3 linked regions of the Rattus norvegicus genome follow. The protein of the gene in region 1 binds, or shares a complex with, the protein of each later gene. Links are inferred from orthologs where the notes say so. Each region holds a gene or a part of one and is shown on either strand. Other genes may lie near its edges.

Region 1 (3,631 bases):
GTTGACTTTGTAGGGGCTACTGGCAGCAGCAGGGAGTCAGATTCACACTAAGAAAGCTGTTGAGGTTTGGTCTGTTGCTATGTATTGTATTGTAATGCTAAATTCTGTATCCTAAGCTCTAGGCCTGTGAATGAATTCTCACAGTTACAGGCTTTTGTTGTGCAAACCTTGTTTCCTAGTTTAAAACTGTTGGTTAAATAAGATAGGTGGGTTTTGAGTTACCTGGTTGGAGGCGGAGAAGCTAGAGGCCAAGACTGAATGGGGAGAGGGGACACAGTACCAGAGAGGAGATGGGCTGTGGCACTAGCGCAGGCCTGGAGAAACACCAGGCATCTAGGGGACACCGCTGGGGTGGGGAGGTGGCCAGGCCAGCAGTTAGAGAAGCAGATTAAAGGTTGCCCCTCAGTAATTATCAAAGCCAAATAAAATAACCATAGTCCGAGTTACACGTGTTTGTAAGCTAGCCAGGGGCAAGATTAAAATTGGTTCTACTACAGAAAGGAGTGTGGTTTTAATGGAAGCCACTTTTTACATTCATGAGCCTATCTGAGTGTGTGCATGTCTGTCTGTGGGCGTGGAGGCGCTGCAGTAGCATGCGGTAGGAAGTCACAGGATGCTCTACACAGTCAGTTTCTTCTTCCACCTTCTGACCCAAGGCAGCAAGCTCTTCCCCAGCTGAGCCATTTCACCAGCCTAGGAAGTAATTGGTTGGTTTTTGTTTAAGGTAGGGTCTCATTAGGCAGCCCAGGTCAACCTTAAACTCAGGATCCTTCTGCCTCATCCTTAACATTCTGAGTTTATTAGCAAGGTGTGGACCTGTGCTCAGTTTGGGAGATTTTTGGAGGGTTTTTTTTTTGTTTGTTTTTTCTTTTTTTCTTTTTCTTGTTTTGAAATGAGCTGGAGAGAGCGATGGCTTGGTGGTTGAAAGCAGCTTCTTAGGTGACCACCACCACCTACTCTAGCTCCAGGGACCCTGACACTCTTTCTTCTCTGGCCTAAAAAGGCACCACACACATGTGGTACACAATCAACACAGACAAGCAGATACATGAAGCAGATGTCTTACTACATTTGTACATGGCAGGGCCATGAAGGATTTCCTTCATTTGTACCACATGGGTCTCAGGGACATAACTTGGGTCATCTGACCTGCTGAGCCATCTAAGAATATAACTGGTTTTGCACTCATGTTGTACACGTATGTTTTAATTCACCAGCTCTTCATAAACATACTGACAAAGAGATAACAAAGCTCAGTTATCTTCCTTCATGAGTAACATCTTCAGGAGCAGCTTCCTTGCTACCTTATGAAGATGGCATTGCACAAATGTGAGGACACTTAGGACAGGGATGGCGGCATAAAGCCTGCAGTTCCAGGGCTTGGAAGTAAAGGCAGCAGGGCTGGAAGCCCTGAATCACCCTAACTATACAGTGAGCTGGAGGGCAGCCTGGACTGTGGGACCCAGCCTCAAGAAACATACAGACTGCCTAGGAAGCGCAAGGCCCTGGGTTCGGTCCCCAGCTCCGAAAAAAAGAACAAAAAAAAAAAAAAGAAACATACAGAAACCAGACCCTGCTTTAAAAAAAAATCTATGGCTCTGCTGGAGAAATTCACAGCTAAGAACAGAACAGGAGACTCTAGAGGGAACAGAGTATTAGGTGAGGATCATTTTAGTTTAGTTTGTTTATATGGATTTTGTTTGAGACAAAATCTTCCTACATAGACCAGGCTAGCCTAAAACACACAGAGGCCCATTTGCCCCTTCCTCTTGTTGTTGGGATTAAAGGCTTGCGCCACCACAGCTGGTCCCTCATTTCGTATTCTAACATGATACACCTAAAACCACCTGCATTTACAGTAAGATTGCTGACCACTGGGCCACAGTGGGTAGTTGGAGCAGCAGGAGAAGACTGGCATTTGCTGAGGGTCTGCTAAGTACCTGCAAGGTGCTGTGTGCCTGTTTCTAACTGTACCACCGTGGTGGGTGCTGCTGCCCCAGTTTACCAGAGAAGACACTTGGAAGGGTAAAGGCAGTTCTTGAAGGCTGTGTGGTTTAATCACACATTGTCAGACCTCGGAAGTGATGCTGTGGGCACTGCCTGTGCATCTTTGTAGTTTCCTTTTCTCAAGCCAACAATTCTTTCTTTCAGTTTTAACCGCCTGGACCTCCCACCCTACAAGAGCTATGAGCAACTGAAGGAAAAGCTGTTATTTGCCATTGAAGAAACAGAAGGATTTGGACAAGAGTAATTGTTGAGACCTTAGGCCACCAGAGGCCAGGGACTCGTCTGCAGTGTCTGTCCCTTTCCTTCTCTGCCTGTTGCACATCTTATTGTAAACTTGGACTGTGACTAGAGAGTTATCTGAGAGTAAGTAAATTAATGTTATCGTTGAGATCTTCCAGTCATTCTGGATTTCTACTCAACGTTTCCAGAAAGCAGATCTACAAACAGTAGTCAGAAACTTAACATGAGATTTAACACAGCGATGAATTCTCCCTGTCTTACTCCACTAGATTGTTCCCTTAACAACAGTTTGCTGTTTGTCCGGAGTCTCACTTGGGCGCAGGTCTCTTAGTGGCTGTTGTAAAGGGCTTTGCAGGGACATCTCAGAAACTGCAGTACACAAGGTCTTCCTGGTAAAGCCTCTAGCTAAGAGGTGCAAGCTTAACCCAGCGTCTGGGCACACGAGCAGCTGCAGCTTGTGCTCTCCCGCTCTTCTCAGCCTGGCCTGACTGTTGTTTTTCATTCCTGAAGCATGACCAGTGCACCATCCTGCTGTTATTTCTGGAAGTGACGCAGGACTTGCATTTCTCTACAAAGTAGTTGTGTCTATTTGAATTCAGGGAAAACTTGGTCCCCGCCAACATATGACTTCATACCTCTCTTCATTCAGTTTGTAATTGTTTATTGCCTTGCACATATGAAACCATACTTACAGACAGTATCAGCACTGTGGCTCCCTCACGGTTTTTAGAAATTTATCTAGAATTAAAATAAGTTCAGATGAATTCATGTAAGATCATTCCTGATTTTTAAATTCTACACATAAATTAAAGCTTAATGGTGTTGATGTAATCCAACACCTTAGTTACATTTCATCCTTGCTAAAATATTCAAATTGCAACCATTTTCTAACACAGATGGAGGTCAGTTCAGTGGTGCAGTGTCTGCAGTCAGAACAGCATCCAGCAGCCACACAGCTGCGCTGTCTTCACACTCCACTCCTGACACAGCAGGAGCCGTTTCTACCTTCTTCAGGTCCTGATCCGCAATAGTTTTCTCACCTCTAAAAATTTTAGATCTCCCTTTTCTTTCCATGACTCATTTATCTTAGACTGCTCCTTTAGTAACTGATGAATGCACTTTGACCTTCTCTGTAGTTAATTCACCTTGGCTTAGCATTAGACTGTCAAGATGGCTGCCGCCATAGACATTATGGGCAATAGGATGAAACCTCAGCCAGTTGAGTCCCTTTTGTAGCCAAATCCCAAAATCAGCCTTATTATTCTAATAGGGACCTTGAAAGGTGTTGGTGGCATAGCATAAAGCCAAGAACACAGAGTGTGACAAACCCCTGTCCCGTAGGAAAGAGTTTCTGTGTCCCTAGCTGCGCGTCCTGTTCTCGTCC
Region 2 (3,631 bases), on another chromosome or scaffold:
CTTTCGCTTTCCTGGCACCAGAACACTGTGTGCAGATCCCAGGCAGTTACTTTGGCTCTTTTAAATTTCATCTCATTCTTAGGAGTTCTGAGCCGGGGTACTGTGAGTTCCCTGCAGTGACCAGGTTGTGACGTTTCAGTAAACCTGGAATAACGTAATGGCTGGGTACGTGTCTCCCTTGAAAGGGAGAGCCTCTATTAGGCTGTGCCCCACCAGCTGCTCATTCAGAGGAAGTTGGTAAATAGGTATTTATCTCAGTCATCCCACAGTGCTTTAAGATGACTGGATGGGGATGGAGAGAACGGTCTTAGTAAGACTCAAAACCTAAAACAAACCCAATTGTGAGCTCTGAGAAAACATGTCGTCAGTCAAGGGTTCAGCAAAAATGAAGGATGCTGGGAAATGGTTATCAGTTGAAACTTGTTGTAGAAAGCATCAGCTGAATCCTGAAGATGGCTGTGAAAAGGGAGCAGAATGTTGAAGACTTACTAATGCTCCACATGTTGGGCATGTGCATTGTGTGCGGAGCAGACGGTGTGGTGCTGCGACGTGGCTTCCCCATGCCAGAGCCTGTGTGCCTAGCCCTGTCGTACTGTGCTGCTCTGTGTGTGCTGCTGCTGCTCCCAGAGAACGTGTCAGTTCACCAGCTCTCACACATGCTTCACGTTGGGGTGTGGCGACCCTCACACAGGTCTCTGTGGCTCAGGGACAGTTTATTGCAGCTCTTACCAGCTTGCTCTCTGGAGACCTCTGAGTTTGTGATGGTCTCCATGAAGCTGGCATGCCCAGGGTAAAGATGTGCCTTGAGGGGAGAGTGATTTTGATACTTTTCACATTGTATGGTAACCAGCACATCTGGCTGTAGCCATTACAGCAGGCCATTTTATCTTAGAGGAAATTGGCTGTGAAGCAGAGCTCTGCTCTGTGTTCCTAACTGGAGCCTCTTCTCTCTCCCTCCTTGCCCCTGCTGCCCAGTGAGGACCTGGGAGAGTTCATGGAGACAAAAGGTGCCAGCAGCCCTGGGATCCTGGTGCTGACTACCGGCCTGAGCAAGCCCTTCATGCGCCTGGACAAGTACCCCACACTGCTGAAGGAGCTGGAGAGACACATGGAGGTTCAGCTGCTCTCTGATCTGACCCCTTATGTCTGTGAAACCACCCTAGAGCTTGTCCAGAGTTCATAATGCGGTGTTTCAGGGGGACTTTGTTAAGCATGGAGATTTTCTCCTCCAGCCCTAGGAGTAAGATCTGTCTTTTTACTTTCTCGTGTAAAGGCTCCAGAAAGCTGCAGAGCGTAGTTTTCAAATAGAGCTGGGTGTCCTCGCAGCATTTAGTTACAGGCAGTAGGGCTGAATGCTGAGTGACACGGGAGGCACTGATTGTGTGTGGGCTAAGAGCATGCACGTCTGCTGCTGCTTTTCCTGGGTGTCTGCAGACGCCTTCATGCTGTTTCTCAGCTCCGCCTTGTAGGGCAGGGCTGTCAGAGATGGAAGCACTGTGGGGCCATGTCCTCGGGAGGCTCCTACCAAACAGCGTGGCTCGCTGACCCTTCTTGGAAGTTCTGTTTTAAATTAATTTCCCTCCAGTCTTTTAGGCACCGTAATCCTTTAAAAGATAAACAGGCCTCACACCGAGAAACAAAATGTCTGTGGGGTGTTTTCGATGTGAGAGTTAATCCTATCTTTCTTTATCCAAAGGATTATCATCCTGATAGACAAGATATTCAGAAATCTATGACTGCCTTCAAAAACCTTTCAGTAAGTGGTTAAGCGTATGACTTTCTCTGACCTTCTCATGATGAATGCATATTGGGTTAGCACCCAACTGGAAGGATGCACAGTAACGAGTGAGTTGTGAGTTAAGCGCAGTGTTTACTGAGATATGAGGACATGCATAGCAACGTTCAAGCAGGAACCTCTCCCACTCGAGTGCACTGCGGGCCCCAGAGCCAGAACTGAGGACACAGTGCAGTTCGTGCTGCAGATGTGTGAACCCATTTGACTCCTTGCCTCCAAGTCCAGGGTGCTTCAGTCATCCAGGACACCAGTCGTGCTGTCCTTCCTCTCTGCTGGCAGTTCCTGATGGAACCAGAGCAGGTGCTCTCCTGCTTTACTGTGTGTTGCTTGTCCCGAGCCTAACAGAAAGGCCTGTAAAGCCTAAGGAGCCAGAGCAGGAGTACGTGTCGCTCCCTTGGCCTGACTTTAATTAGCAGACATTCAGCTGGTGCAGAACAATACAATTGTATAAGCAGAAGCAGGGTGGTGAAAACAAGGTTCTGGAAGCTTCTATCTCTGAACACTTGTGTTCTGTGTCCCACAGGCCCAGTGTCAAGAAGTACGAAAAAGGAAAGAGCTGGAGCTGCAGATCCTGACAGAGCCCATCAGGAGCTGGGAGGGGGATGACATAAAGACGTTGGGCAGTGTTACATACATGTCCCAAGTCACAATTCAGTGTGCAGGAAGCGAGGTATGGAGGCCCGCCTTCAGTCCAGGTCTAGAGGAGTGTCGTGCGGCTGTGTATATAGGAGCCTGTCACTTGTGCTCCACTTTTTATCCCTGACAAACATGGAACTTGTGGTATGGGTAGAAAGTTCACAGCACATGGGCCAGTTGCCAGTCCCATGCCCCAGGATCAGCTTGTTCCAAAGCTGTGTGAACTGAGAGCGTGTTCACCCAAGACCGGAAGAGACTGGTATGTTTCTCATTGTGTCCAGGTGTCTTATACAGACACTGGCATGGCCCTGGCTCAGGCTTTTCCTATCAGAAAAGCTTGTGTGTATTCTGGTGTCTATTAATGGGGATCACTGCTTTGTTGCTGGTTTGTTAAGTGACATCCCTCTTCACCAAATGTTAGCTTTTAATGGTTGAAGAAGAAACAGAATTTGCTCAGAGTCCTCTCCCCAACCCCCCACTACATTATAGTGTGGGCACTGGAAGAAATTGTCCCATTCTGTTATCACACTGACCTGAAACACTACAACCTTTCAGAACGTGTTCCTTAATCAAATGATTCTATGTGTGTGGGTGTTTTATCTGCATGCATGTTTTTGTACAAGGTGCATGCAGTGCCCACAGAGACCAGGAGAGGATGTCTGGGCCCCTGGAAATGCAGTTACAGGCAGTTGTGAGCTGCTGTGTGGTCCTGGGAATTAGACTTGGGACCTCTGGGAGATCAGTCAGTGCTCTTAACCACAGAGCCATTGCAGCCCCTTAATAAGTGACTCTTAAGTTTTGTATTAGATCACTGTGCGACGCTTCCCAAGTGCTGAGTCTCCATAGCAGTGGTGGGCGTCTCTCCAAAGAGAGTCCGAGCTGCCATGCCTGTGTGCCTCCAAGAGAGCACAGCAGGTTTCAGCAGCTTCTTAGGATCCACACCTTCCTCATCCCGGCTAGCCTCTGAGTGAATGTGGTGTTGTGAAGAGCGTGCGTGGGAATCTGAAGGTAGTGGTTCATGCTGATGGACGCCTGCCTCTGTCCTTCAGAGTCTCTGGACTCCGCCTCTTAGATCTCTGTGTTCGCTTTGACTTGGTTACTTTGAGGCAAATGTTTTTTTTTTTTGTTTTTTTTTTTTTATTAAAGTCTTTTTTTTTTAAAGATTTATTTATTTTATGTATATGAGTACACTATATCTGC
Region 3 (4,321 bases), on another chromosome or scaffold:
GTAAAGATATAAAAAGGGAACACTGATTTTAAAAAACAAAAACACTCCTCGCTTTCAAAATATTGGCCATGATTTCTCTTTTTCTAGTATGTGACATTGGCTCTGTTGCCCCATGGCACAGAAGTTCATGGTCTGTTCTTTTAATTCCCTTCAAAACAAAACACCTTGGAAAGACCATGCCTGAAGGTCACTTAGACCCCGACTCAAAAAAATAACAACTTCTTCATTTCCAACATCTGGGAAAGTGGGCCAGGTCTGAATGTTTTGAGCGTTCCGACATTCACCCAGCAAACACTCCTATATCACGGTGCGGGCACTGGTCTGCACCCCTTGAGGCTGGAGACTTGCCTACTGATTGCCACCCATCTGTGGAGTCAGAGGCGGGGGTGTACCCACTCCCCACTGGAGAGACTGAGTCTCTGAAACATTGGAGTTCAAGCAGAGAGGCAGAAAGCGTTGAGTAGTACAGATGAGTCGTCCCTGAAGGCTCACTGCACGTTGTTGTTGTTGTTGTTAAGGACGCAGGGATCCACCTAGGGGGAAGAGCGAGGAGACTTTCAGATTTTTTAGGTAAGTAGAAAACCCACACGAATCCCTTCCCTCAGAAGGCCTAGGACAAAATCTTGACCCTTAAAAAAAAGTAGTGACTCTCACCTCAGTGTAAGTGGGCGGAGGCATGAACTGGAACTCGGGGGCGTACATAAAGATAGGGCTGTCTTGAGAATCATCCACATCATCTAGCAGGGGGGTGGTGGGGCTCTCCAGTCTGTGATCTTCAGGAATCACGTCCATATAGCAAGGTGGAGCTGAAAAAGAGAAAACGGGGTCAGAAGTCCAGCTAAGAAACTCCCAGGCCACCCCAACTCCACAAGCCCAAGCAGGTCAAAACGAAGAGTTTATTAGCTGAAGCTTACCTTCTGGGGTGTCTGGGATGTTTAGGTCTATCCAGCTCATTTCAGAGCTTGTCCGGCTAGCCATGCTGGATGTCCGGCTGCTTAGGCCCGACCTGCTGCCAATCACTAGGGGCAGATCGAGGATGACTTTCTTGGAGCCAGGGACACTAACATAGATCTAGGAAGGAAGGTGGGAGTTTGTTAGATGGGTTGTGTTAGAGGAGGCACTGACTTTGCACCCAAGCAACTATTTCTCTTCCCTCCTCACTCACCAGCAAGGAGTATTCAACTCTGAGGATGTTGCAGCCCAGAATGGACGGTCTGATCTTCTGCACTCGGAGACTCTTGCCACGCCATGATGCGCAAGTCCCTGAGATAATGTGATTGCCTCTGACTGAGGACAGCTTCTGAGTGAGCACTTTGGTCTGGCCATTGGCAAGGTAAGTGTGCCGGGCCACAATAGCTGCTTTGGGGACCACGATTCGGGAACATGTGTTCTCAAAGTCAGCGTGGATGGAAATGTCATCACCTAGAGTTGAAGAGGAGGAAGGAAGAATATCCATTAAATTTAACAGCATTTCCTCCGCCTTTATCCCACAACCCCCTCCAAACCCCACAGCTGTGGCTATCCTATCTGGTATTATAAGCACTGGGCTTTTACCTTCACAGAATCCTTTTCTGTCGATTCGAGCGGAGACTGACACGCGTCCATCAGGAATGAACATGCAGGAAACTTTCTTCTCCTTTTTGGCAGACACTGGTGCCTGTGAAGAAGGAAATAATGTTTTGAGCTATTTCAATGCCTCATGCATCTAATTCATTATCTCTGACCAAGGAGAATAAAACCTTAAAGAAAATAAAAGAAAAAAGCCTCACCATTAAGTCAGGAGTATTGACGTCCACTAGATCCATCACTTCAAAGTTTTTCTTTGCCTCTTGAGTTGGCTGGCTGGGACGATCGAGAAAAGCCTTCACCCAGTAGTCTACACAGCCATATTTCCCTTTGAAGGATGTTCCCAGGGGCCTGTGTCAAAACAATGAACAAAAATTAATGCTAAGAAATGTGAAATATCAATGGAGGGGGAAGACTTAGAAATAAAGAGTCCATGGTGCGGTCGGTGATGCCTACCCTTGAGGAAGCTCAAAGCCGAACTTGTACTCATATTTGTTTCCTGGTCTCATGATCACCATCTCGTTCTCACCTGCGGGGAAACAAAGGCAAGGGGCCATTAGACTTCTTGTTACATTCCAAATGCAGCATCAGTGAGGAGTGCCTGGGCAGCAGACTGTCTTACTTCCACACTTTCATCTCTCACACTAAGGAATAAGATTCCCCGGGACAGAAAGTTGCACAACCCACGAATACATTAATCTTTACGTAGCTAAGGCAACACCTTCAGGAAACAGCACCCCAGAAACTGTTCCAATTACTATGGGGGGTGGAGGAGGGTAGCGGAATAACTTGCAAATTAAAAGGTAAAAATATAGGGGCCAACAGCTCAAACCATTCAAACGATCGACTCGAAACATTTAGTGGAGGCCCCACCCCCAGCCCCATAAGTCACTATCCGTCCTGCCAAGAGCTGTACCTGTAGGCTGGTCTTCTAGGAGAAGGGTGTCTTCATAGCGCAAGTAGTCCAAGGTCTGTTTGCACTGCTGAGACCCTTGCATCCACAGGACCTTGGCCACACCGCAAGCCAGGATCCTGACGGCTTTGACTCGGGTAACTTCACACACTTCCACTGTCACCCGGCCGGCCACCTTCTCCCCGCTGCCATACACCTTCTCAGGGTCGTTGAAGACCACCTCAAAAGACTTGATCTTCTTGAACATCACCATGATTGAGCCGAGTGGGTTCAAGAAAAACGGAAGCCGGAGAGGAAAAACTCTTCAGAATCCTTCTCAGCAAACTAAGAACTTAAGTCTCTCCGTGAGGCAGAGAGGGCTTAAAAACCCAAAGAAAGCCTCAAACAAAACCTTAACAACTTCTCTAAAAGGTGCCTGAAAGTTTCAACCAGCTGGTTGTGCCAAAAGCTTTCAGGAGAAAAATAACAGCTGTTTTCTCGCAACTGGAGGAACTCTGGATATCCAAAGACCAGAAGAGGAGAGTGTCAAGCGGGAGCCGGAAACGGCATTATATAGCCGCCTGGCTTGACGCTCCACGCGAGTGCTGGCCCGGAGGCTCGTGCATCCCTCGTGCACAGTTCTCCCATTGGCTACTTGGTCCTTGTTTACCAGGCCTCTAACCAATCAGCGAGGCCGCAGAGGCGCGTGGACACAGTGTGCTCTTAGCGGGGAAAATGGTTGTTGTTCGGGTGCGCAGCCTTGCCAGGGAGGAGGGGCGGGGCCTGGGGCAGCGGGTGGCTCCCTCGGGAGTCTGGGACCCCGAGACCCTGAACCTCATCCAGGGTACTCCTCTCGGGAGCTGGGTTGTTTGGGTGTGTGCTTTGTTGGTTTTTTTCCCCTTCTTTTTTTAGGTAAAAGAAAAATGTGCTTAGGAGAGGATTTCATGCCTGTCTTAGCCAGCGCAATTCATTTCGACGTGACCATTTATTCCTGGCTCACAAGTTCGCAAGTCTGTGAAAAACAATCCCCAAGGATACTTCAGGATGGAGCGGAGGGCGAGAGTGCAGTTGTGTTAGTGAGAAAGAGCCTACCCGATGTGCTCCCATTACACTTCTATTGAATAAAACGCTTCCATCTCCCGGGGGCGGGGGACTTGTCAGATATTTTAAGTCTGGCTTAAAGTCCTTATTGGTACATGGTCTGGTGTGTACCCCTTCGTTCCATGCCCTATGTGCTGCTATTGTTCCTCGCCCATTACGTTCTATTCTGTTCTGTTCTCTGGAACGGAAGCAGTAAGGGAGTGTCCACATCCTGTTGCTTATCCCCTCATCTCTTCAGTGTACCTGTGAGGTTGGGGAACATTTTGTATATGTTCCCTTATTTACCTCACTGTAGCTTTAGTGAGGTGTGTACCTTTACACTGATCTCTCCCTTCGTCCCTGCTCCTCCAGGAAACAAGGGGTGGGTACAAACAAACAAACAGGGGGGAAGAAAAAGGAAGAAAACGATCTGTCACTCCTTACTTTGTTCCCGAGTTCCTGTCACTCTTTTTTTTTTTCCCCATTTGTCCTCTCATCAAAATCACTAAATGAAATGCATACCCCTCAGCCTGTTTCAGTCTCCCCAGGGCTGAAGCTGTATTGGTTTCACTTGGCTATTTGGCAAACCTTGCTGAGAAATGCTTCAGGAGCTGACTAGAGAAATAACTTGAGTGCAAAGAAACTCTTGTATGTTGAAGGACTACCCACCACTCCCTGACACCCCAGGGCCCCTACCCTATTCCTCACCCACCTCCTCCCACCTCCACCCCGCCAGAGCCTTGTCATTGAGTCCTAGCCTCCTTCCATATTTGGGCAGAATTA

Evidence for each region.
Region 2: the proteins of Itch (region 1) and Arhgef7 are in contact, whole or in part, in a crystal structure (PDB 5SXP), measured with the Homo sapiens proteins. The link is inferred for Rattus norvegicus from reciprocal best matches to the Homo sapiens genes ITCH and ARHGEF7. Residues at the interface, in NP_001244066.1 of Homo sapiens: Arg252, Pro253, Pro254, Arg255, Pro256, Arg258, Pro259, Pro260, Pro261, Pro262, Thr263, Pro264, Arg266; in NP_001106983.1 of Homo sapiens: Phe193, Phe195, Thr198, Asp201, Glu202, Arg215, Glu217, Glu218, Gly219, Gly220, Trp221, Glu223, Thr230, Trp232, Pro234, Asn236, Tyr237.
Region 3: the proteins of Itch (region 1) and Txnip are in contact, whole or in part, in a crystal structure (PDB 5CQ2), measured with the Homo sapiens proteins. The link is inferred for Rattus norvegicus from reciprocal best matches to the Homo sapiens genes ITCH and TXNIP. Residues at the interface, in NP_001244066.1 of Homo sapiens: Glu485, Arg487, Thr489, Tyr495, Val497, Asp498, His499, Arg502, Thr503, Thr504, Thr505, Tyr506, Leu516; in NP_006463.3 of Homo sapiens: Pro328, Glu329, Ala330, Pro331, Pro332, Cys333, Tyr334, Val337, Ile338.

The regions. Positions count from the first base shown.
Region 1 is NC_086021.1:164,189,294-164,192,924, forward strand, and holds part of Itch (E3 ubiquitin-protein ligase Itchy homolog), read left to right. Parts: intron 1-2,151; coding exon 2,152-2,251; 3' UTR 2,252-3,631. UniProt on the Homo sapiens protein: Acts as an Acts as an E3 ubiquitin-protein ligase which accepts ubiquitin from an E2 ubiquitin-conjugating enzyme in the form of a thioester and then directly transfers the ubiquitin to targeted substrates.
Region 2 is NC_086034.1:84,397,683-84,401,313, reverse strand, and holds part of Arhgef7 (rho guanine nucleotide exchange factor 7), read left to right. Parts: intron 1-975; coding exon 976-1,114; intron 1,115-1,696; coding exon 1,697-1,756; intron 1,757-2,318; coding exon 2,319-2,465; intron 2,466-3,631. UniProt on the Homo sapiens protein: Acts as a RAC1 guanine nucleotide exchange factor (GEF) and can induce membrane ruffling. Functions in cell migration, attachment and cell spreading. Promotes targeting of RAC1 to focal adhesions. May function as a positive regulator of apoptosis.
Region 3 is NC_086020.1:186,780,534-186,784,854, reverse strand, and holds the start of Txnip (thioredoxin-interacting protein), read right to left. Parts: upstream 2,923-4,321; 5' UTR 2,733-2,922; coding exon 2,483-2,732; intron 2,096-2,482; coding exon 2,023-2,095; intron 1,918-2,022; coding exon 1,770-1,917; intron 1,658-1,769; coding exon 1,555-1,657; intron 1,423-1,554; coding exon 1,166-1,422; intron 1,072-1,165; coding exon 915-1,071; intron 807-914; coding exon 655-806; intron 534-654; coding exon 489-533; 3' UTR 1-488. UniProt on the Homo sapiens protein: May act as an oxidative stress mediator by inhibiting thioredoxin activity or by limiting its bioavailability.